2 linked regions of the Mus musculus genome follow. The protein of the gene in region 1 binds, or shares a complex with, the protein of each later gene. Links are inferred from orthologs where the notes say so. Each region holds a gene or a part of one and is shown in the gene's direction. Other genes may lie near its edges. The genes, in order: Rai2 and Ctbp1.

Region 1 (10,332 bases):
CAATAAAAATTTCAGCAGTAGGGACATTATTTGGTATTCAGTAAGAAAGAATTTGTACTGTACTCTCTTCCACTAACATCTGTCATCTGTAACTTCAGGGATTTTATTAACCCCTTGAAAACTTCATGTGTACTGACTCACACAGGTCATGTCAGTGTGCCATGGGGTAATGAGCTCAGTTACCAAATCAATTCACATATATCATCTACAGGTTTATATGACTATATATCTGTAGCTAGTTCACCAATTCCCACTGTCTCCTGCTTAGATTTTGAACTCTAGACCTGCCTATATGGCTATCCAGCAGACCCATGACTCAAACCAAGTTACCTTAGAATTCTCTGGGTCAGATACTGTTTAACATTTCACTCACTCATTAGATGTTAGCTGTTACTATTTTCTCGTGTTCTGCATTCATGCATCTATCAGGATCTCTCTATACTCTCTATATGTTACAAGAACTCTCCCAATCTGCCAGAAAATAAGCACCCTTCACCTACCTTCTTCACTCTTCACCTCTTCATTGGGTGCCCAAGAGTTCTCCCATGGCTTTAAACTCCAATTCCCCAGAGTGAAAATTGGCTCCAGTAATGCACTCTTGCACTGACGTCTCAGTTTGCCTTCCTTACTTCTCTACTAGTGGTCTGTCCATCTCCAAGTCAACTTTTTACATTCTGGTCCCTGTGTCAGAATTGCAATAAATTTATCATCTCTACTGCCAGATCTGTTTCCCAGGGTCTTCTATCTCTCACTGAGTATACCCCACCTACTCTGGCACATGAATCAGCCATTCCAGTTTTTCAGGTCCCCAATCATTAGTTGATTCTATATATTGGCTCCAGTTCTCACTCTTCTTTGGTGCCTATACTATCTTGACTCTAGTTCTCATTATTGAAAATATAGACAGTCTTAATTTATCTTCCTGCTGCCAATCCCACCTACCCCCTCAATCATCCATTAACATCAAACAACAAACAGGTTAGTCCCCAATCTGTACCTTCCTTTATCACTTAATGCTTAGTACATTTTCATGGCTTCCATTCATTATATTGAAAAACTCCTTTATAGAACAGACCAGGGATCTCAAGTGACACCTAGCCTCCTCCTTTGCTAGTCTACAGAGTCACCATTCCAAATTCATAACATATTTAGTGTCTACAACATGCTTATATCCAAGCATTAATACCTCTTGTTCCTTCCATTTATACTGCTTTCCCCTTGTTTTGGAGAACTCCTGTTCATCTCTCAGCATTCCACACCTGTCAACATATCTGTTCAAGCTTTTCTGACTTCTCTACCCTACATCATTCCCCACTCTTCCTGGTAGATGTTTGCCTAGCCTGTTTCATAGCTTATTGTGTATCACATTCTTTGTGTGTGTGTGTGTGTGTGTGTGTATCACATTCTATCATGCTGTGTTAAACGTTATATATCAGTGTGCAAATTGGGGTCAGCAACCATGCATTAACCATCTTCCTAACTGACATTATAAACTCAGTGACTGGGTAATGAGTATGTGCAGATGTTTAAGTAAATATTGATTTACATTCATTATTTAAGTTTTAATTGTATATATTTACACAATTAATTTATACTTATATTATATAAATTTATATTTGTTGTTTAGAGTCACCAAATAATAAAATTATAGATCTCAAAAGCCAAGTTTGACCTGCCCTGGAAGACAGTTATTATTATTCTTTTCTGCTGTTTTGCATGTCCTTTCTTACCTCCACTTTCTTAAGCACTTCTTCCATATTCATGCTCCATTTCTTCCCCAAAGCACCCTCTAACCTCCAAACCAGACCAGCCCTTCATGGATCTCTCTCTCTACCCCATCTCTCTTCAAGAACAACCTCAGTGGAAATGTAGAACATGACAGTGTATATTTGGGGGGGATAGGAGTCAAGATGCCTGCTTTTTGCACTGGTCTAAATCAGTATAATCATTCTTGAAAGTATAGGTACCTCAAAGGGCAGCTATATGAATCACAACTGCCAGCGAGGATCAAACATTAACCAGCATTGTGATGAAGTCAACAAAAGAAACAGGCTAGTAATTGCCTTGCAGGATATATATCAAGTCTCTACCTTATACACACATTCCCCCACAACACACAGAAAGCCTTTATGGATCTTTCATCCATGAATTTTCTCAATTATAATTGCCCAGCTGTGTCTTTAGCTGTATTCAAGCCAGGTTCTGGCAACTGGCATATCACATATCTGATCCAAGAACCCTGACCAGAGAAAGCCAACTAAATGACTGAAGACATGTTCACAGGTAAATATTTCCACAGGTACTGTGTACTCTAGGGTGGTTTAAACTCCCAAATTCCATCTGAAAAGAAAAAGCAGGAAGATCAGCTGATAGTCATTTTTACCAGATCTCAAAATTTGATTATTTATTTTTCTGTCCCTGTATCAACTGACTTTTCATTAAACGAGCTCTTTTTCAAAAAAGAAAAATATAGTATGAAGGATGGGTACTAGCTGGGTGACTTCTACTAGTACTACAGTATTAGTTGGGGCACAGTATTCTGGAGGTACATACAGAAAAAAATCTAAGCATGTAAAAAAAGATACTTTAGTTAAACTGAATACATGCTATTTATCTTTACACAAATGCAACTATAGTGTAACTTTTAATATCCCTTTTATGGAAGACTTCCAAAGTTCCCACAGAGGTCATAATTTGGCCCTGGATGCTACTGGTTTGCATAATATCATGGTTAGAAGAAACCCTTATAAATGCAAGTGCAGGTCCCAGTATTAGTAATGAATAGGTGGGTTAAGGTGGGAGCTCTCTTACGAATTTTGTGTTCTTGTGGTCACCCCAAATTCTACTAGAGAAAAGCCACAATGCTGAGGCTTGGAGGGGTTTGAGTGTACAAAGGACTGTAAAATTCATACCGTTCTCTGACCTGGTTAAAGTAATTCCTGCCATACCATTCACTCTCAAATATCATCATCCTGTTTTAACAGGAAAAACAAAAACAAAAACAAAAACAAAAACTCAGCATCACTGAGGATTCATTAAACCAATGCAGTTGCTTCCTTTGCCTTTTTAAAACATTTTTTAAAGGATTTAGACTTAAAACAATTTTGATGACCAGTAATGCTATTGATTCATACTGTTTATTTATGGGTCACCAACCACGTATTCATCATGTCTATAACTCTAGTTCTTACACAACCCAGTATCTGGCAAACACTGGGTCCATAATAAATGTTAAATTAATATGTGAATCACATCTTGGTTAGAAATGATATTCTGTTTCTGGACTAATTTTGTCTTTGCTAATGTCCTGCCTTGGGAGTGCCATCTCTGACCTAGACCGCAATCCCCTGAGGCATATTAGGGAGGGTGGTAGCTGTTCCTTCTGAATGCTCCCATTTCTATCAACCACTTTCCCTTTCAGGGCTGTTCTTTTTTGCTTTTAGTCCTAAGGTCTAGAATGGTCTCCAGACTCCTGGAAGCAGCAAGGTCCCCACACCTCTGGGCCTTCCCAACCCGAGAGCACGCGGACAGACACAGACACACACGCATGCACGCGCGCGCATACACACACACACACACACACACACACACACACACACACACAGAGAGAGAGAGAGAGAGAGAGAGAGAGAGAGAGAGAGAGAGAGAGAGCTTGCCTCCAGCTCCCTAGCCTTCTGTCACCCCGCACCGCCCACAACCACGCCCTCCCCGTGGGCGAGATCACCTGTCCCTCCTCTGCCACCGCCTCCTCGGGTACCCTTTCGCACCCCCTCCTGCTCCCCTTCCTCCGCCACCTCCCCCAAGCCCTCCCCTTCCCCGCCTCCTCCCACCCCTTGGTGTATATAGTAAAGGCCAGGCGCTGCACGCAGACACACACTCTCCCGGACACAGGCAAACACGCACACACACACAACCGGCAGTGGCGGTAGCGACAGCGGCTTGGTGACAGCAGCGACAGGGGCTCCCATCCGCTGTGCACCCCCTTCAGGCGCCCAGCGGCGAGGCCAGACCCAGAGAGTTCCCACACTAGCGTCCACCCCGTGGCTTCCTGGAGGCGGCGGCCCGGATCCCGAGGTAGCGGCTGCGGGCACCCTAGTGCTGGTCGGGGTCACTCCCGCCCTCCCCAGGCGGACCTGCCACCGGGACGCAGGGGGCGCGCCGGGCTGGGCGCGCCTGGCGGGGCCGGGCACCCGGGGAGGGGCCTGCCTGCTCCTGGGGGCAGGACGGCGCCCAGAGGCCAGGGCCAGCGGGGAGGGCCGGGCGGGGGCGGGGACGCGGGCCGAGGCTACCACTTGTGCGGCTCGCCCAGGCCAGGCTCCCGCTGGCGGGCGCTACGCACTGGCCGGCCCGGCCGGGGACAGTCGGGAAGGCGGCGCCAGGCGGTGGGGCGGGGGCCCTGAAGTGGGTTTTGGGCCGCCACCCGCTCTGGCACTGGGCATAGAGGGCGGCACGCAGTGCACTCCGTGCCCGGGCACCGCACCGGGCTTGTCTCGGTATCTGCCATTCTGCCCCAGCCTGGAAAACCAGGCGCCTTCCAGGCCCTTCGAAAGATGGATTCTGTTGACGTATCTGGCGGCCCTGGCGAGAGGGGTGGAAAGTTGGGTTTTGCCAGATCGTGCTGGGATCTTCTTTGTGCCGCTGAGCAAGTCCCGCATCCCGCTGGAGCAGGGTGAGTGCCTGTCGGCGCCCTGGGAGCCCCGGTGCCCCACAGTGCCCAGACACGGGGTGGCTACACCAGCCCCGGCTTTCTGCCATGTTAGGCACCAAGCAGCGTTCTGGCTGCATTTTTTTTTTTTTTTTGTATGCGTGCATTTCAGTGGCGCCTTTTGCTGCGAAGGGAGTTATTGCTTTCCTGCGCGTTGGCTCCCCCAACCCCAACCCCCGGGGTTGGGGCTTGCTCTGTGTGTTTGTTGTTTGCCATTTAAACCCCTACTATTGTTCAGGATAAGCTCCGCCTGGGTGGGGAAATGGCATCCCACCACAGTTGTTGGCGAGGGGTCGAAATCTTGCCAAACAGCTGCTGCTTTGTGTTTCCCTATCCGAAGTCCGCGGAGTGGGTTTGGGGCAGGATGGATGGTGGAGAGACAGATAGGGCATGAAGGGAGACCGTGGCTTTGCGAAGACTGACTTGTCACCCACCCCATGGTGCTCAGTCAGCCTCTCTTCTGACTGACAAACTTTTATAAATATTTCTCTTTTAGAAGAGAGAAGCCTAATGAATTTAGCCGTTTTTTTAAAGGCGGCAATCCAGCTTTAACAATGGTTTGGGAACTTAATCAATGAGAAAGGGAGGGGAGGAAAAGAAGGCGCTGGCACCAAAGCGGGGAATGTGGCTGCTTCTTACAGAGTCAGGTAAAAGGGGGCCAGGGCTGGGCAGGGCAGGGCACAGCGCCTGGGTGGCCACATTCCTAAAACTATCAGTTGTTCTTACCTGTATCCGCTGGTACCACCCACGCTTGTGCCCTCACCTCTGGGCTGCCCGGTCCTGGCAATGGGCTTGAGAGGCGGCTTGCAGCAGGGAGAGGGCCAGCCTCCCTCATCTGGCGTTTTTTAAGGATGTGTAAATATTTTGCTGAGGATAAGTGACATCAACAGAATGATATTCCACAGAGCCCGGGTGTGCAGCAATGATAAATAGATACAGCCAAACAAAGTTTTGATAACCGCATATTCTCATGGCTCGCTCTGTTTCGTTTGGTCTTTGTTTTTGTTGGTTTAGCATTATCTCGCATCCTCTGGTGTGATCCCTTTATTTAGCCAATTCTTGGAAGCTTCTCCTTAGAACACAGAGAAAAGCAGCCAGCAGGGAGAAAACAATTCTTAGCCTCTCCTGCACCAGGCAGATTTTTCTTTGCTTTCCCAGGATCTCTTTCCCACCGTTTTCTAGCTGTCTTCCCTTCTCTCCTTTAGAGTCATCACAATTGCGTGCTGGTAGACCAAGGGACTTCAGCTAACTTTGAAAGCGTGTTGTGGCAGAGCCTTTGTTACAGTGGTATACCAGGGGACAGTAGAGAGGCTAGTGGGGAGGTAGCACCTCCCTAGGGTAGCACTATGCACCCATACCTTGATTTTTCTGCATATTTTTTCCCAGAAGAGAAATATGGGGAGCTGTGCTAGTTTCAGAAGCAAGGATAAGTTCGAAGGCACAGAATCATAAGCCGTTAGCCTGGTAACTTCCCAGTTTCTCTGGCCCTTAGGAGCTCAGTGAAGCTATACCCCAAGTTTAGACAGCCCCATACCCTCCCCACAGACACACTGTATTCTGAAAATGGCTATTCCCTTCTCAGCCTGACAGATGCCCACTGAGTGCATGCATGCCCAAGGTGGCTATGGCCCTTTGAGTCAAGCCACACTGAAACTTGTGGGCCAGGAAGCTGTTGACTGTTTTGGCACCAACTCAGAGGATCATTCAGCTTATCCAAGGAGGCTCCTTTATTATTCAAAGAAACCAAGACCACATGCAGGGAGGTTTGGCCCCAGGAAAACCTGCTCATCCCAGGAGTAAAAGAGAAAACAGTTTCCCGGGTGGTGTCCACTGCTTGCTTGAGAGCAGGTTGACAGGTGGGCACTTCCGTCTAGAAGTATAAAGCCAACTACAGCATCTTTTATCCAGAAAACAAACAAGCAAACAAAAGAGCAGAAAAAAAAGAAAGAAAGAGAAAGAAGAAAAAAAACAAATAAAAACAAACAACATAAGTTTGGGGGTATGTGAGCAAATGTAGCCTGAAGGCTCCAGTGTCAGCAGCCAGAAGAGTCTAGTTCCAATGACCCAGGAACTGGGAGACCCTTGACCCAGAATGGAGCTATTCTGTATATACAGACAGCCACACACAGGGTGTGCTCAGAAGCCACAGGAAGCAAATTGCAAGTGTCTGTTCTCTGGCTCCTCCTCTGACCTTAGATTAGTGGGGAGGAGGGAAGTAGAGAGAAATAAATCGGAAAGGAAGCTAACATTTGTTCTTGTCCTGTCTGCCAGACACTGAATCTGTGGCAAACCTTCTCTGTGACCCTGTGACCCCAGCGAAGCATTATTTAACAGATAATTCTCAGAGAAACTGTCAGCCCTGATCTGATTCCAGTGTTTGGTGTTTATGATTTAAACAGCAATATGTCTCTCTGCCCCTGCTCAAAGCCCCTTATTTATTTCTCCCAAAGGCCAGAGTCCTCAACCCATACCTCTTTCATAAAATATAGTACCTAAATTAGTGTGGTGTCTGTGAGTGTGTAGGTGGGTGACCCTCCAGTGGAGGCCCCCTCTTCACCTCTCTTGTGCACATGTGCCCAGTGGAGCCAAACCAGTTCCTAATTCAGGTGGTGCCCTTTTGTTTAAGAACCCACAAAGCCTACTATTATTAGCTAAATGAAAGTTGAGTGACCAAATGATGGAGTCGATGGAGTGAACAGTTGCAGAGAGGGAGCCATAAATCATTGTCAAGGGAGACACAGCAAGAGAGATCCAGGGGTTTGTATGTTTGATGGGGACTCATAGCTTTTGGTGTCATGCTCCTGTTGGAGCCCCATTCTGACAAACCCAGGTTTAATCCTTACAGCACTTATGTGAGACTGTGCGAACAGATAATTAATTTCATTGTACAGGTAAGGGACCTGAGATGTTTGAGGTACACGGTGAGACCAAATGGTAGGTGAGTTTTAATGCTTTGTTATTTCTCAAATACTAAATAAATATGAGGAGGGGGTTTGCTATGCAATTCCTTGGACCTCCTTCCAACCAGACGACAGCCTCTAGACCTTAGCAATTCCAGAACCACCAAAGAGTCAGGATTTGAATGCATAAAATGAGGGGCTTTGGACTGCTGCCTCTCTGATCAGAATGTGAGGAGTACCTCAGAGAATGAGGCTCTCTATGAGGGGAAAGATGGCTAATTGCTCTTTTCCCATGCATAAAAGCCTGTGTGGGCTTCTGAATTAGGCTTGATTTGGGGATCAGAGTGCCATCCTTGCTGTAGAGTTGGAAGCTCTTTGTCTTTGGAGAATGCCTCTGATTGCTACGTCTCCCTCCCACCAGATCATCTGCCTGGGCACCCATCATCCCATTCGTTTTCGTTCTGCACTCATGGCCTCTCTTCTGTGACTCACAATTTGTCTACTGCTCTCCTCTGTCTTCTGATGGCAGCTGGTGAGAAGGCCATTTTGGCAGCCACGTTAGTCCTTCTGGATGTCACACATGACCCTCCTCTTTCTTGCCAAGAACACACAAAAACACATATGCATGCACAGGCACAGGCATAGACACAGGCACATGTAATTTGATCATGTTTCTGTTTCTGTATCTGATTCACCAAATTAGATTGCTAACGCACAATTGTTATTGGAAGATGTGCTTGGCTTTGGTGATTTTCTATCACAGCCCCTGCCTTGAACAAATCAGAACAGTTAAGGTGGAGGTAGCTCAACCAGCAGCTGCCTAGAGCAATACTGGTTGTACTTAGTGGTTTCCCCACATCTGTGGGACTGCAGCTGAGATATATGCTTGATCTGTTTTAGTTTGTTTGGGCTACTGTTACCAAACTGGCTAAACTACATGTCTTTGAGCAATGGAAATTTATCACAGTTCCAGAGACTGTGAGATCCAGGATCAGTTTGCTATCAAACTCAGCATCTGGTGAAGGCCTTTAAAATTCATAGACAGTGACTTCTCACTGTTCTCTCCCGTGGTAAAAGGCCCAAGTAAATTCTCTGGACATTTCTGTTTCTGTTGCTGTCTGTCTGTCTGTCTGTCTGTCTGTCTGTCTGTCTGTCATCTCTGGAGCGAGAGACTGAATATCAGGGCCTTGTGCATATGAGGGAACTGTTCTACCACTGATGTACCTCTCTTCGCCTCTGAGGTCCCTTTATAAAGGCACTAATTCCCGTTGATGAGGGTTCCGCTCTCATGACCTAATCATTTCTTGGATGTCCCCACCTCTTAATGCCATTACCTAGTGAATTAAGATTTTAACAAATGAATTTTAGGGGTGGCACATCAATCTTCAGATCATGCAGCTTTACTGGGCATTTCTTAAATGCCCATTGGAATCTCCACTGGGCTTCCAGAACATCCCAGTCTTCATAGTTTCCATTTCTATTGTTATCATCAGCTTTAAGAATTCCAAACATATGAGAATTTCAGAGCACACCTTTTCCATGCCTGTCACCCTCCCCTCCCCACAGCTTTTCAGCCTTTCAGCTCAGCACTAATAGAATTTCTTAATGGTCATATTCTATATGAGTACTGTAGCATGCAAAAGCCATTGGTCCAATGGCTATGGAATGCTTGAGAGGCAGCTTGTCCCAAATTAGGTATGCTGTAAGTGCAATCTATCACTGGATTTCTGAGAGTACAAAAAGAATGCAAAATAGTTCATCTGGTGTTTGAAATATTGTGATGTGGTGAAATTATATTTTGGATATATTGGTCAAGAGACATAGGATTAAAATTAATATTGCTTGTTTCTTTTAATTTTGAATGCGACTACTAGCATATTCTAGAGTGCTCATCTATTTCTGTCAGACACCAGTGCCCTGGAGCATACTACCCACCAATGTTGTGATGTCATGGTACCTGCAAATATGCTAGAGAGTGGGGAGTTAAATACCTCTGTCTCTATGACAGATGGGAGGTCTTGTGCTGACTCAGTATGCACAATGGCTGACATTAGAAGATCGTGATTTTTCAGTAACTAAGGAGCCATTTGGGGAGTTCCCCACCAGGCATGCCTGTGATTCTGTTCTGAGAATCGTCATGGACTGCAAAAACCCACTGCAGAATTCAAGGCAGGGTAGGAGCCTAAAGGTTAGACTACTAGCTTGAACAAAATGGCTTCTTCCTTTTCTTTTGCTCTTGCTTCTCCAGAACACCCAGCCTATGCGCGCATTCTTTGGAGAATTAACTCCTGCCTAGACCGCTGACTTCTTTCACACCTGCCCTAGTAACAGCTTAAAGTCTTTCTCAGGGCTTTGTGCTTGGAGAAGAATGTGCCAAGTAGATAGGCTCATGCTAAGAGTGGGTTGTTTTGAGCTGGGGCCATCCTTAAAGAAGAAAAGAAGATTCACACTCAGTCATTTTCTGACAGCTTCATGTGAGCAACAACAAAGATACAGTTTCTGTAAGGAACACAGAGTGATGTCAAAGAAACCCAATATCGCTCGCCCTGATGATACCACAAATAAGGCTACCTGAGGAAACCCTGAGAGTGGGAGAAGGGGTTTCAGCTGGCACTGTGGGATCATCTCAGCCATGCCCATGCATTCCTGGGCCCTTCCCCGGGTGCTAGGCAAGGCTTGAATAGATGGGAGAGGGATGGAAGAATGAACTTGGGACCCTGGTGATTT
Region 2 (10,429 bases), on another chromosome or scaffold:
ATGTGTCTATTCTCAGTCAAGCATTTTCTCATAAGACAATTTCAGAAAAACATCATATGACATGACTGAGTCCACTTCACAAGATACAGTCTGGTGTTCCTTTCCTCCTCAAATTGTACATTTTGTATTTTTTCCTTGCTCAGCTTGTGTCTCTTCATTACAGATTTCCATAAGAGCACTAAGAACCCCAGGATAGAGTCAATACTAGGCGGTTTTGAGATATCCTCTGCCAACTTAATTAATCCATAAATACTCAATTTAGCTTCAGGCAGACTTTTTGGACAAAGGCAAAAAGTAGCCTTATTCTTTGTCAAAATATCACAAGAACAATCTCTAGGCCACATACTAAAATTCTTATCTTTTGAAACCTCTTAGGCCAGGGCCCTACAGTTCAATTTACCCCCCAGCACCCCCCAGCACCACTTCCTTCCATGTTCTTACTAGTGTGACCCATTAAGCAATGCTTAAAGCATTCCACTGTTTTTCTAATCCAAAGTCCACATTCCTTCAAACAAAATCATGGACCAGCCTATCACAGCAATATCACAGTCCCCATTTCCAACGTCTGTCTTAGGGTTTCTGTTGCTGTGAAGAGACATCATGACCATGGCAACTCTTTTAAAGGAAAACATTTAGTCGGGGCTGCCCTATAGTTCAAGGGTTTATGCAGGCAGACATGGTGCTGGAGAAGGAGCTGAGAGTTCCACATCTTGATCAGAAGGCAGCAGGAAGAGACTGAATCACACTTCCTCCAACAAGGCAACTAATAGTGCCACTCCCTATAGTCTTATGGGGTCCATTTTTATTCAAACCATCATCCATATCATTCATTTCTTTTTCTTTCTTTTAGTGTAAGGGGTTGTTTAAGATTCTTTTTTGAACTCACGTAGGTGCTTGCCTTTGCCTCCCAAGTGCTGAAATTAAAGTCATTAAAGGTGTGCACCACCACACCTGGCCATGTCATTCATTTCTGATAGTTTGACTTTAGAATCAGCTCATCAGTTTGTGTTTTGTTTAGTCCTTGTGGTGGTGTGAGAGTCTGGTCTCTAAAATTTACCATGTCCTCAAGACATTACATAATCCTATTATTTCATGTTTTGATTTCTCTTAGTAGAGTTCTGTAGTGATCAATACACAATGTTTGTACAGCGTTTGTAAAACCTGTTACTGTGCTTTCCTCAGTGCTGGTGATAGGACCTAAGTACCACCCCTCCAGCCTGGTTTTAGGGATAACTACTGTTAACAAGTTGTGTTTTTAATTTCCTGTAGTGTTTAGAAACACAGTTGGCCTTTGCATATTTGAGCTATACTGCAGTTTCCCTAGATCCTGGTTTGCAGGTTCTCCAGGCATTTCTCAACACCCTGCTGGGCCACACTTGCTACCATTTTTTGTTCTTGCCTCTTTGACATTAGCTGTGATGGTCAGTGCTTTATAAACTGCATTTTTCTCTCTGCTTTAGTTTGAGTCATTTCTATTGGCTGCTGTTCTGTCTTTGGTATTAGATCTTCTAATAGATTCTTCATTGCAGAATTCTTTATAGCTTTTCCAGCTCTCGAACAGGTGACTGGGTCTTTTGTAAGGACCATTTCTCTGCTACAGTTGACTGTCCTCTCCAGTTTTTCACATGTGCCTCTGATGCTGTCACGTGTTCCCAGCAGGTATCAGAAGTCCTCCCAGCTGATCCCATTGGCTGGGCTGTCTGTGGATATGCTTGTTCTTACTCTTATCTGTTAGAGTGTTTGTGGTATACTTAGTCTCGTCTAGAAAGAAATAGTAGAGGCCAAAGTAAGTGACATTTATCCCTAAAATTATTGTTCTGTGCTGTTAGGGATATCTGTGCTGGGGTGGTGCTGTCTGACAGCTTTGGGTACCTCAGGAAACAACTCTCTTTGAGCGCCCTCTGCCCATTTTCAGGGCAGCCCCCAGCTTTCACAATGGGGAGGTTTTCTCCAGGTCTCTACTGCTCACATTCTCAGCAGCAGCTGTCCTGTATTAAAAGCTTCTCTGTGACCCTCTGTCAGTCTACTTGGATTCTGCAGAGGCCTCCCTCCTGGCCTGTGACTGCTGTGTCCCTTGGCTTTAGCATTCCTTCATGGCCCTCCTGACGCACCTTCCCTGTCTTCTGTGCCATAATCCTGTAGAGTCATTGGGAGGGACTTAGAGCCTTGGTGGGCCCTGCCCTCCCTCTTGGTCCTGATGCTCTAGTGGCGTCTTCACACTTGCTCCCATCACCTTTGTGTCTCCTGCAAACTTGAGTTTCCTGGGGAGGCTGTCCTGGCTAACCTCTTTAAAGCTGCCTGTGTCCTGCCAACATGCCTGACTGTTCTCTTTGCTCTTTTCCTGGTGGGTATTAACTTTGTCTCTTGATGGATGCTGCAGGAGAGGCTTATGTCCCCAGCATTCTCTTATCAGCTGTCTGCTCCATCTGTATCCAGCATGTTGTTGATGTGTGGATATATGGAGCTGTCCCCATGCTATGCCCTTCAGCCTGTGGCTCCCACGACAGAGCCAGGCTTGCCTCAGATGACACCTGATGTGGATTTGTGCAGTTGGGCCAGGAAGGTGGCAGATACATTGCATACAGTGTACCCTCTCTGCTGCTAGATTATTTTTTCTTTCAAGATTTATTTCTTATTGTATGTGTGTGTGTGTGGGAAGAGGTATGTTCATATGAGTACAGGTGTTCACAAATGCCGGAAGTGTCAGATTCCTCTGAAGTTAGAGTTAAATGTGGTTCTAAGCTGCTTGACATGAATGTTGGGGATCGAACTTGGTTCCTCTACAAAAGCAGCAAGCACTCCTATCCTCTGAGCCAACTCTTCAAACACCTGCTGCTGGATTCTAATGTTCAGTGTGGTTCCAACATGTGCTGTTTGTGGCCAGAATTGAGATTCCAAGGGTGTCTGATAAGTAGACCCACTGATAAATGGTCAGGGGAGGGGGCCAAGCTTATTGTGTATTGACTTTATATATTAGTGAGTATAACTGATCAATGGCAGGCTGCTGGAGGGTGACAGCTAGCATCATTCCTCCTACCCCTTGATTGTGGTGCCTCAGCACCAGGGAGCAGATGTGCTGCAGAGTGTGTGTGACTGAGATCCCAGAGATCTAGGGAAACTTTGGTAGGCAGGCAGAGTTACCTGGGAGGCCCCTTGAATTATGGCTGTGAGGCTAGCAGCAAGCTCTGAGGATGCATGTCTCACTTCCTCTTGACTCTGCCAGGTCGTGTGGGCCAGGCGGTGGCACTTCGGGCAAAGGCTTTTGGCTTCAACGTCCTCTTCTATGATCCATACCTATCTGATGGAATCGAGCGGGCCCTGGGGCTACAGCGCGTGAGCACGCTGCAGGACCTGCTCTTCCACAGTGACTGCGTTACCCTGCATTGCGGCCTCAATGAGCACAACCACCACCTCATCAATGACTTTACTGTCAAGCAGGTACGCTGCAGCTTCCCCACCACCCTCCTCCCCTCTCCCACAGGGCAGTGCTGTCCCTTCTTCACAGTGTAGCCCTCTACTCTTCCCTCAGAGTTTACCCTTGTCCCTTCCCCCCAGGAGACAGTGGGCCTCTGGCCTAGACAGCAGCAGTAGTTAAATTCCTGGGCCTGTCTCATTCTGTTGATACATCAGGGTATACTTGCTGATGCTACTGCCCACCTGGCCCAGGGTCTCTCCCAGAACTTGTCTGTATCAGGCCATCCCCTGGTGGGTGGGAAGTGAGATTTGTTGTGGATGTGCCATTACAGTGAAAAGCCCCAGTGTCAGTCACTCACATGGTCATCCTGTCTTCTCAGATGAGACAAGGAGCCTTTCTGGTGAACACAGCCCGTGGTGGCCTGGTGGATGAGAAGGCACTGGCCCAGGCCCTGAAGGAAGGGCGGATCCGTGGCGCAGCGCTGGACGTGCATGAGTCAGAGCCCTTCAGGTGCCCCTGTGCCCTAAGATGGACTATGCCCACCAATCTGATGACTATGACGTGGGAGACCATGTATTTGAGCACTGCCCTCTTGCTGGCTGGGTTAGGGGAGGGTTTGCTGTCTGCTCTCAGGAGGGGACAAGATCCTCAAGAATCTGTCTAGCCTTGGCCATAGTAATGGGCTGGGCTTAGACTTGGCTTATTTTCAGTTTGTCTCTTGATGTCCATGATGGTCCCATGGTCCCCAGACTCAGCGGGGCCAAGGCATACACTAGCTTGGCTTCGCATGCAGCCTCTAGTCCAGTCTGGGCTGACTTCCTTCTTGGGGCTCCAGCAGCTGACAAAGCCCATCAAGGGATAGCAGACCAGTTGAGTGATTAGCCACTGAAGAACACAGTGGAGTCTGTCTGAGAGCCCTCATTCCTAGGGTTTGTTCTGCTGGGCAGGGCTGTGCCAGCACCACAGCAGGGCTCTTCCTCTAAGGCTCAGAATCCCCTCTACCCCTTACTGTTAAGACCTTGGGGTAGGTTTGCTAGTTCTGCAGTTCCACTTTTTCAGATGCCTTGGGAAAGGCCAGGGGCCCTCCCATCCCAGGGCTGGTTGCCTTCTGCACCTCCCAGACTTGGGTGCTCAGATCACTCTGACTGGGTATGTGCTATCCTCAGCTTTAGCCAGGGACCCTTAAAGGATGCACCCAACCTCATCTGCACACCCCATGCTGCATGGTACAGTGAGCAGGCGTCCATTGAGATGAGAGAGGAGGCAGCCCGGGAAATCCGGCGAGCCATCACAGGTGGGTAGCCATGCTATCAGGCTGGCAAGTTTGTTTTATGCCTGTTAAGGGGAGGTGACACTTGGTTGTTCTTTTATGGTGGGGGAGTCCCTTGGGGTGAAGTTGAGTAACACATCATTTTCGTACATGAAGACCTGCTGTGCTGGATGCCATCAGCTGCTTGTGAGCTGAGAGCACATGTATGGGGCTAAGGTCTCCAGGTTGGAAGCTGACTTTTCAGGTGGATGGTCCTATGATGTTCCTGGGGAGTAAGCCAGGGCTGTGGCAAGAAGGTGGCTCTGGGTCTGCCTCTTGGCCCCCACAGAGGCAGCAGTTTTAATCCACATTGCTGTCTCTCTCTGGTGTACCTTCCAACATCCTAGGCCGGATCCCAGATAGCTTGAAAAACTGTGTCAACAAGGACCACCTGACAGCCGCCACGCACTGGGCCAGCATGGACCCTGCTGTGGTGCACCCTGAGCTCAATGGGGCTGCCTACAGGTGAGCAGGCAAGGGAGGGGACAGTCTGCAAGACAATGAGGCTTAAACCTGGACCTTGGCTAGTAGGTTATGCAGTAGTGGGTCATATGACTGGGGCTACACCCTTATGTAAGGCCCCTGTGGATGTTAGAGGATTGAGCTGGATGGGACAGTCTACTTTTCTTGGGGTAAGAGGTTTGGCCTCCTAGACAGGACTGCTGGGCAGAACTGTTGTTGGGCCAGAGAGTAGTAAGGAGTCAGGGAATGGGGCTTGGGGAAGACCTCATGTGAGAAGCCAGGCTGTGATGCTGCCCAGCACTGACCAAGTGCTTACTGCCTCCAACTTTTCTGGACCTCAGGGGTCATTGATAACCATACAGAAAGGGCTGTGTGCAGCAGGTGGGTCTCTGTAGAGCTCACACGTCTGCCCTCCTCTCTCAGCAGGTACCCTCCAGGCGTCGTGAGTGTGGCCCCCACTGGCATCCCAGCTGCTGTGGAAGGGATTGTTCCCAGTGCCATGTCCCTGTCTCATGGCCTGCCCCCTGTGGCCCACCCACCCCACGCTCCCTCTCCTGGCCAGACTGTCAAGCCTGAGGCGGATAGAGACCATACGAGTGACCAGTTGTAGCCTGTGAGGAGCTGTCCAGCCTTGGCACCTGGTGGAGGGTGCTGCACGCTCTTGGACCCAAGTGTGCAGAGGTGGCATCCAGTGTGGGCCCTAGCACTCCAGAGACTGGCCCGGGCGTGCACTAGGCGGGGCAAGAGGAAGCACGTCCCCAAGTTGATTGTAGTTGTCCCGTCCTGTGGGCTGGCTCACTGTCCTGTGTCCTTTGCGTTCCTCGTTTAAGCAAAAGAAGTTAGTAGCTAATTCTATCACGAATGTTCTTGTCTGTGTACAGTTTTTAGAACATTACAAAGGATTTGTTTGCTTAGCTGTCAACAAAAAGAAAACCTGAGGGAGCATTCAGCAAGTCAGTTTGAGATTATTTTTCCTTTTCTACGTTGGAACGTGCCCCGGAATGTGGCCGTCGGCACACTTCTCAGGACAATGAATCCTTCCTGTTTTTCTTTTTATGCCACACAGTGCATTGTTTTTCTACCTGCTTGTCTTATTTTTAGAATAATTTAGAAAAACAACAAAGGCTGTTTTTCCTAATTTTGGCATGAACCCCTTGTTCCAAGTGAAGGCGGCATCACGAGTGGCTCCGAGGCGTCTGCAGTGCCCAGGGTGCTCAGGACCACCGGGGTCTGTCCTGGGGGAGGCAGGGGTTGGCAGACCCTTGCCTGCGTGGTGCCGTCCTGCTCATGTGGTAGGCTAGCAATATTTTGGTTAAAATCATGTTTGTGACTGTAACCATTTGTATGAATTATTTTAAAGAAATAAAAATCCCAGAAAGAGCCGGCACGCCTGGCACCAGTTTTAATGGCTTCATCAAATGGGAGCACTGGTGGGTCCCTTCTGGTCCTAGCTCTCATGACCTGCTCCACTCATCTTCTGTGGAGCAGGCAGTCCTGGGGAGACCCAGAAGAGGGCAGCAGCAGGTAGGGCTATAGTCCCCACTACATCTTAAGGGGATAGAGGGCCCTGGGTTGGGGAGGCCATCCTTACATACAGGGAGGGAGGGCTGTGGTGGGACCACCCCTTTTCTCCAAACAACAGCCCCTAGGCCAGCAGCTCTTGGACTGGCATTTTGGAAAAACCCACTGAAGGAAATTCAACAGAAAATTACTACTAAACAGAAGTTTTAGCTTGCATGCAAAGTGCCAGGCTGTGTGTGATTCGGTTTCCCATTTCCTCCACTGCATTGTCTTTAGATGCAGGCTGTGATCCACTGAACTGATTTGACAGTAATTCCCAAAAGGATCTGAGCCTGGCATCAATGTCCAGCCTGCAAATCAACCAAAGCAAAGAGGCTCTGCCTCTGTGGATGCTGAAATAGTTGAAAGTAGAAGCAAGCCTTCTGAGTAGAACTGTGGAGCTTCAGTGAACAGGCAGCATCAATCCCAGAGCTCAGCTGTTTGTTTTTAATGGGTCAACTTTATATGGATAATGAATGTCTGCCATCTGGAATTCTAAGACTAGGGCATAGTAAAAAGCAGGTGGTGGCTGGGGAGATGGCCCAGTGGGTAAATACACTTGCTCTGTAGGCACAAGGGCTTATGTTTGAATCCTCAGCACCCATGTAAAAAAAGCCATACATGTACCTGTTAACCCAGCACTGGCAGACAGACAGGCAGGTCAGGGAGCTTCCTGATAAGCAAGCCTAGCCAAACAGCTTCCAGTTTAGTGAGAGGCCCTGTCACAAGGTAAAGAGTGATGGACTATGACACCTGACATTCTGCTCTGGTCTCTGCGTGCACCCTACCCCCCTCAAAGCAGGCATGGTATCAGTAGACCAATTCTGAAACAGATTAGTGGGCTAAAAAGAACAGGGAACCAAGGGAGACTAGATTGGGGTACAGTGTGTATGTTTCTGTGTGTGTGTGCATGCAAATGTGTGTGAGAGCTTAGGACTTGAGCAAGGGGACCAAATGAAGGAGCGTCGCCCTTTAGTGAGCAGAGCTGTAGAATGACCTGTCAGAGAGGGTTAGTTTGCTCAAATTGGATCAAAAAGCACAAATCATGGGGGCACAAACTGGGACTGATTTGTATTTAGACTTCTTGGTAACACCTGTTTTTAGAAAAGACTGAGCCAAGATACCTGAATGATAGGGCATGCAAGAGTTCTGTGGTAGCAAAAAGAAGGTTGGGTCCTGAAGCAGGAGTGAGAGGCTTATCTTCAGGCCCAGAGCAGCATTTGGGCAGGCTGGACAAGGAGCAAAGCAGGACCCGAGGATGTGTAGACAAAGGGACCTGTTTCAGGGACCTGGGACCTATCTCCATCCTCTTCTATGGCTTCTCTCAACCCCTCTGTTTGGGTAAGTAGTTGGGAGAGGGTGGACATTCTAGGGCAGCCTGGGCAGGGGCACAGCAGTAGCCAGCCACTTCTTGTGGCCACCTCAATCTGGCCTCACACTGATCCCAGAATGGGCCCAAGGAGGCCAGGAAACACCCTCTTCTTCCTGATGCTCTGGTTCAGAGCCCAGAGTGACTCTGGAAATGGATTTTCCAGCAAAAAACAACTATTAAAACGCAAGAATGGAGGAAGGCCAGCTGCCAGTCCCTCCTCTGACTCTTGGCTCTCTCTGTGTAAAGAAAACCATCTGGTCTGCTGGGCCTGAGCCCAGGGCCCAGAGGAGACCTCTAATCCCTCGGAGCAGGACTGTTCACTCCCCAGCTGGCCCTGTGGCCCCCTTCCTGCCTGGCCTCTTCCCACCTTGGACCCACGCCCTGGAGGCCTCTACAGATGCCCAGATAGGGGGTGGCCTGGTCCATCATGCACTGACCAGCTGGGAACCTTGAGTCTTTCCTGAACCAACACTAAGTTGAGTCCACATTTGCTCCTCTACTCCCACCCACCACACAGACCTGAGCCCTGAGTAACTTATACAGATGGCCATGATGGCCTCCTGTTCCCCAGGATCACTCATTCATGATAAAAGTCTTGGAAAGATCAGGAATTCAAGGCCCATACCTAAACATAATAAAAGCAATATACAGCAAACCAGTAGCCAACATCAAACTAAATGGAGAGAAGCTGGAAGCAATCCTACAAAAATCAGGGACTAGACAAGGCTGCCCACTTTCTCCCTACCTATTCTATATAGTACTCGAAGTCCTAGCCAGAGCAATTAGACAACAAAAGGAGGTCAAGAGGATACAAATTGGAAAAGAAGGAGTCAAAATATCACTTTTTGCAGATGATATGATAGTATATATATAAGTGACCCTAAAAATTCCACCAGAGAACTCCTAAACCTGATAAACAGCTTCAGAGAGAGGATTCTTAAGGTTTTTGTTGTTTGTTTGTTTGTTTGTTTGTTTATATTTTGGCTGAGGTATAACACCATGATTCGAAGTAGCTGGTGAAGAAAGGGTTTTATCTTATAAATCCTGAGTTCACATTCCATCTCTGAAATAAGTCGGGGTAGGAACTCAAGGCAGGAACTTGGAGGTAGGACCTGAAGCAGAGGCTATAGAGGAATGCTTCTTACTGGCTTGCTCCTCTTGGCTTTCAGTCTGCCTTAAACAACTCAGGGTCACCTGCCTACAGGTGACACCAATAGTGGACATGTTAGTCATTAATCAAGATGCCCAGAGGCCAATGTTATAGAGGCATTTTCTCAGTTAAGATTCCCTCTTTCCAGATATAGCTAGGTTGGTGCCAAGTTGACAAAATCAACCAGCACAGTGTATAAAGATTTAGAAATTTCTAATAGATTGTTCATGGGTCACCTTGAGCAATATCCAAGAAGTACAGAAGGATGGAAGGTCACAGGCCTTCCCAGGCCTGGACTGGTTTGTGTCTCATCAGAAAAGTTTATAAACAAAAGTCGTCAAAGCATCCTGGTTTGTCTCACCCTCAGGCAGTGTGTTTCTCATTTAAGCAGTTATCTTGTAGTGTCAGCGTTGGATGTCTGCATGGGGTTCTGCACGGCTTACTCACAACCTCCATTCAGCTCTGGTGTGTGGCTCGTCTTGGGTCAGCAGGCTGTCATGGGTGAGCACATGTGTGGTTTGATTCCCGGGGGTGGAGGTCAAAGACACAGCTGTGAGCAATCTGAGGAGAAAGTTTCATGCTACAGCTCTTTCACTGCATGGCAGTGCCTGTTTCTCACAGCCCCTCAGCATGCAGATCCTCAAGGCTCACAATCCAGTCACATGGTGACATGGTGCCTGTGCCTACCATTCCTTTTCTATGACTTGTGAAGCCTTTCTCTGTGTGTGTGTGTATTGTACATACGTATATATGTTTCCATCTGTAGGTACATTTGCATGAGTGTGCATGTGTATATACATGTTTATATGTGTGTGGTGCTCATAGATGTATAGTTGTGCATGTAAGTAAGTGCACATGAGTGTGGAAACCTGAGGTTGATGCTGGTTCCTTGGCCATTCTCCACATTGTGTACTTAGGCAAGATCTCTCATTTGAACCCAGAGTCCATTGATTTGGCTAGTCTTAAGTAGTCAGCTTACTCCAGGGTTTCCCTGCCTCTGCCTCCCGTGTGTTGGGATTATACCACGGCCATCTGCCATGTTGGGGATTTAAATGTCAGCTTTATTCTTGCACAGCAAGTGATTTACCCACTGAGTCGTCTCCCCGGCCCTTCATCCAATTTTTTTTCCAGACAGGGTTTCTCTGTGTAGCCCTGGCTGTC

The links.
Region 2: the proteins of Rai2 (region 1) and Ctbp1 are in contact, whole or in part, in a cryo-EM structure (PDB 8ARI), measured with the Homo sapiens proteins. The link is inferred for Mus musculus from reciprocal best matches to the Homo sapiens genes RAI2 and CTBP1. Residues at the interface, in NP_001166210.2 of Homo sapiens: Glu315, Ala316, Leu317, Asp318, Leu319, Ser320, Met321, Lys322, Trp326; in NP_001319.1 of Homo sapiens: Arg36, Cys38, Met42, Val51, Ala52, Phe53, Cys54, Asp55, Gln57, Gln60, Glu61, His63, Val66.

Annotation. Positions count from the first base shown.
Region 1 is NC_000086.7:161,713,194-161,723,525, forward strand, and holds the start of Rai2 (retinoic acid-induced protein 2), read left to right. Parts: upstream 1-3,842; 5' UTR 3,843-4,074; intron 4,075-4,359; exon of another isoform or gene 4,360-4,669; intron 4,670-10,332.
Region 2 is NC_000071.6:33,243,867-33,254,295, reverse strand, and holds the end of Ctbp1 (C-terminal-binding protein 1), read left to right. Parts: intron 1-3,223; coding exon 3,224-3,438; intron 3,439-3,794; coding exon 3,795-3,925; intron 3,926-4,581; coding exon 4,582-4,709; intron 4,710-5,071; coding exon 5,072-5,189; intron 5,190-5,609; coding exon 5,610-5,796; 3' UTR 5,797-6,573; downstream 6,574-10,429. UniProt on the Homo sapiens protein: Corepressor targeting diverse transcription regulators such as GLIS2 or BCL6. Has dehydrogenase activity. Involved in controlling the equilibrium between tubular and stacked structures in the Golgi complex.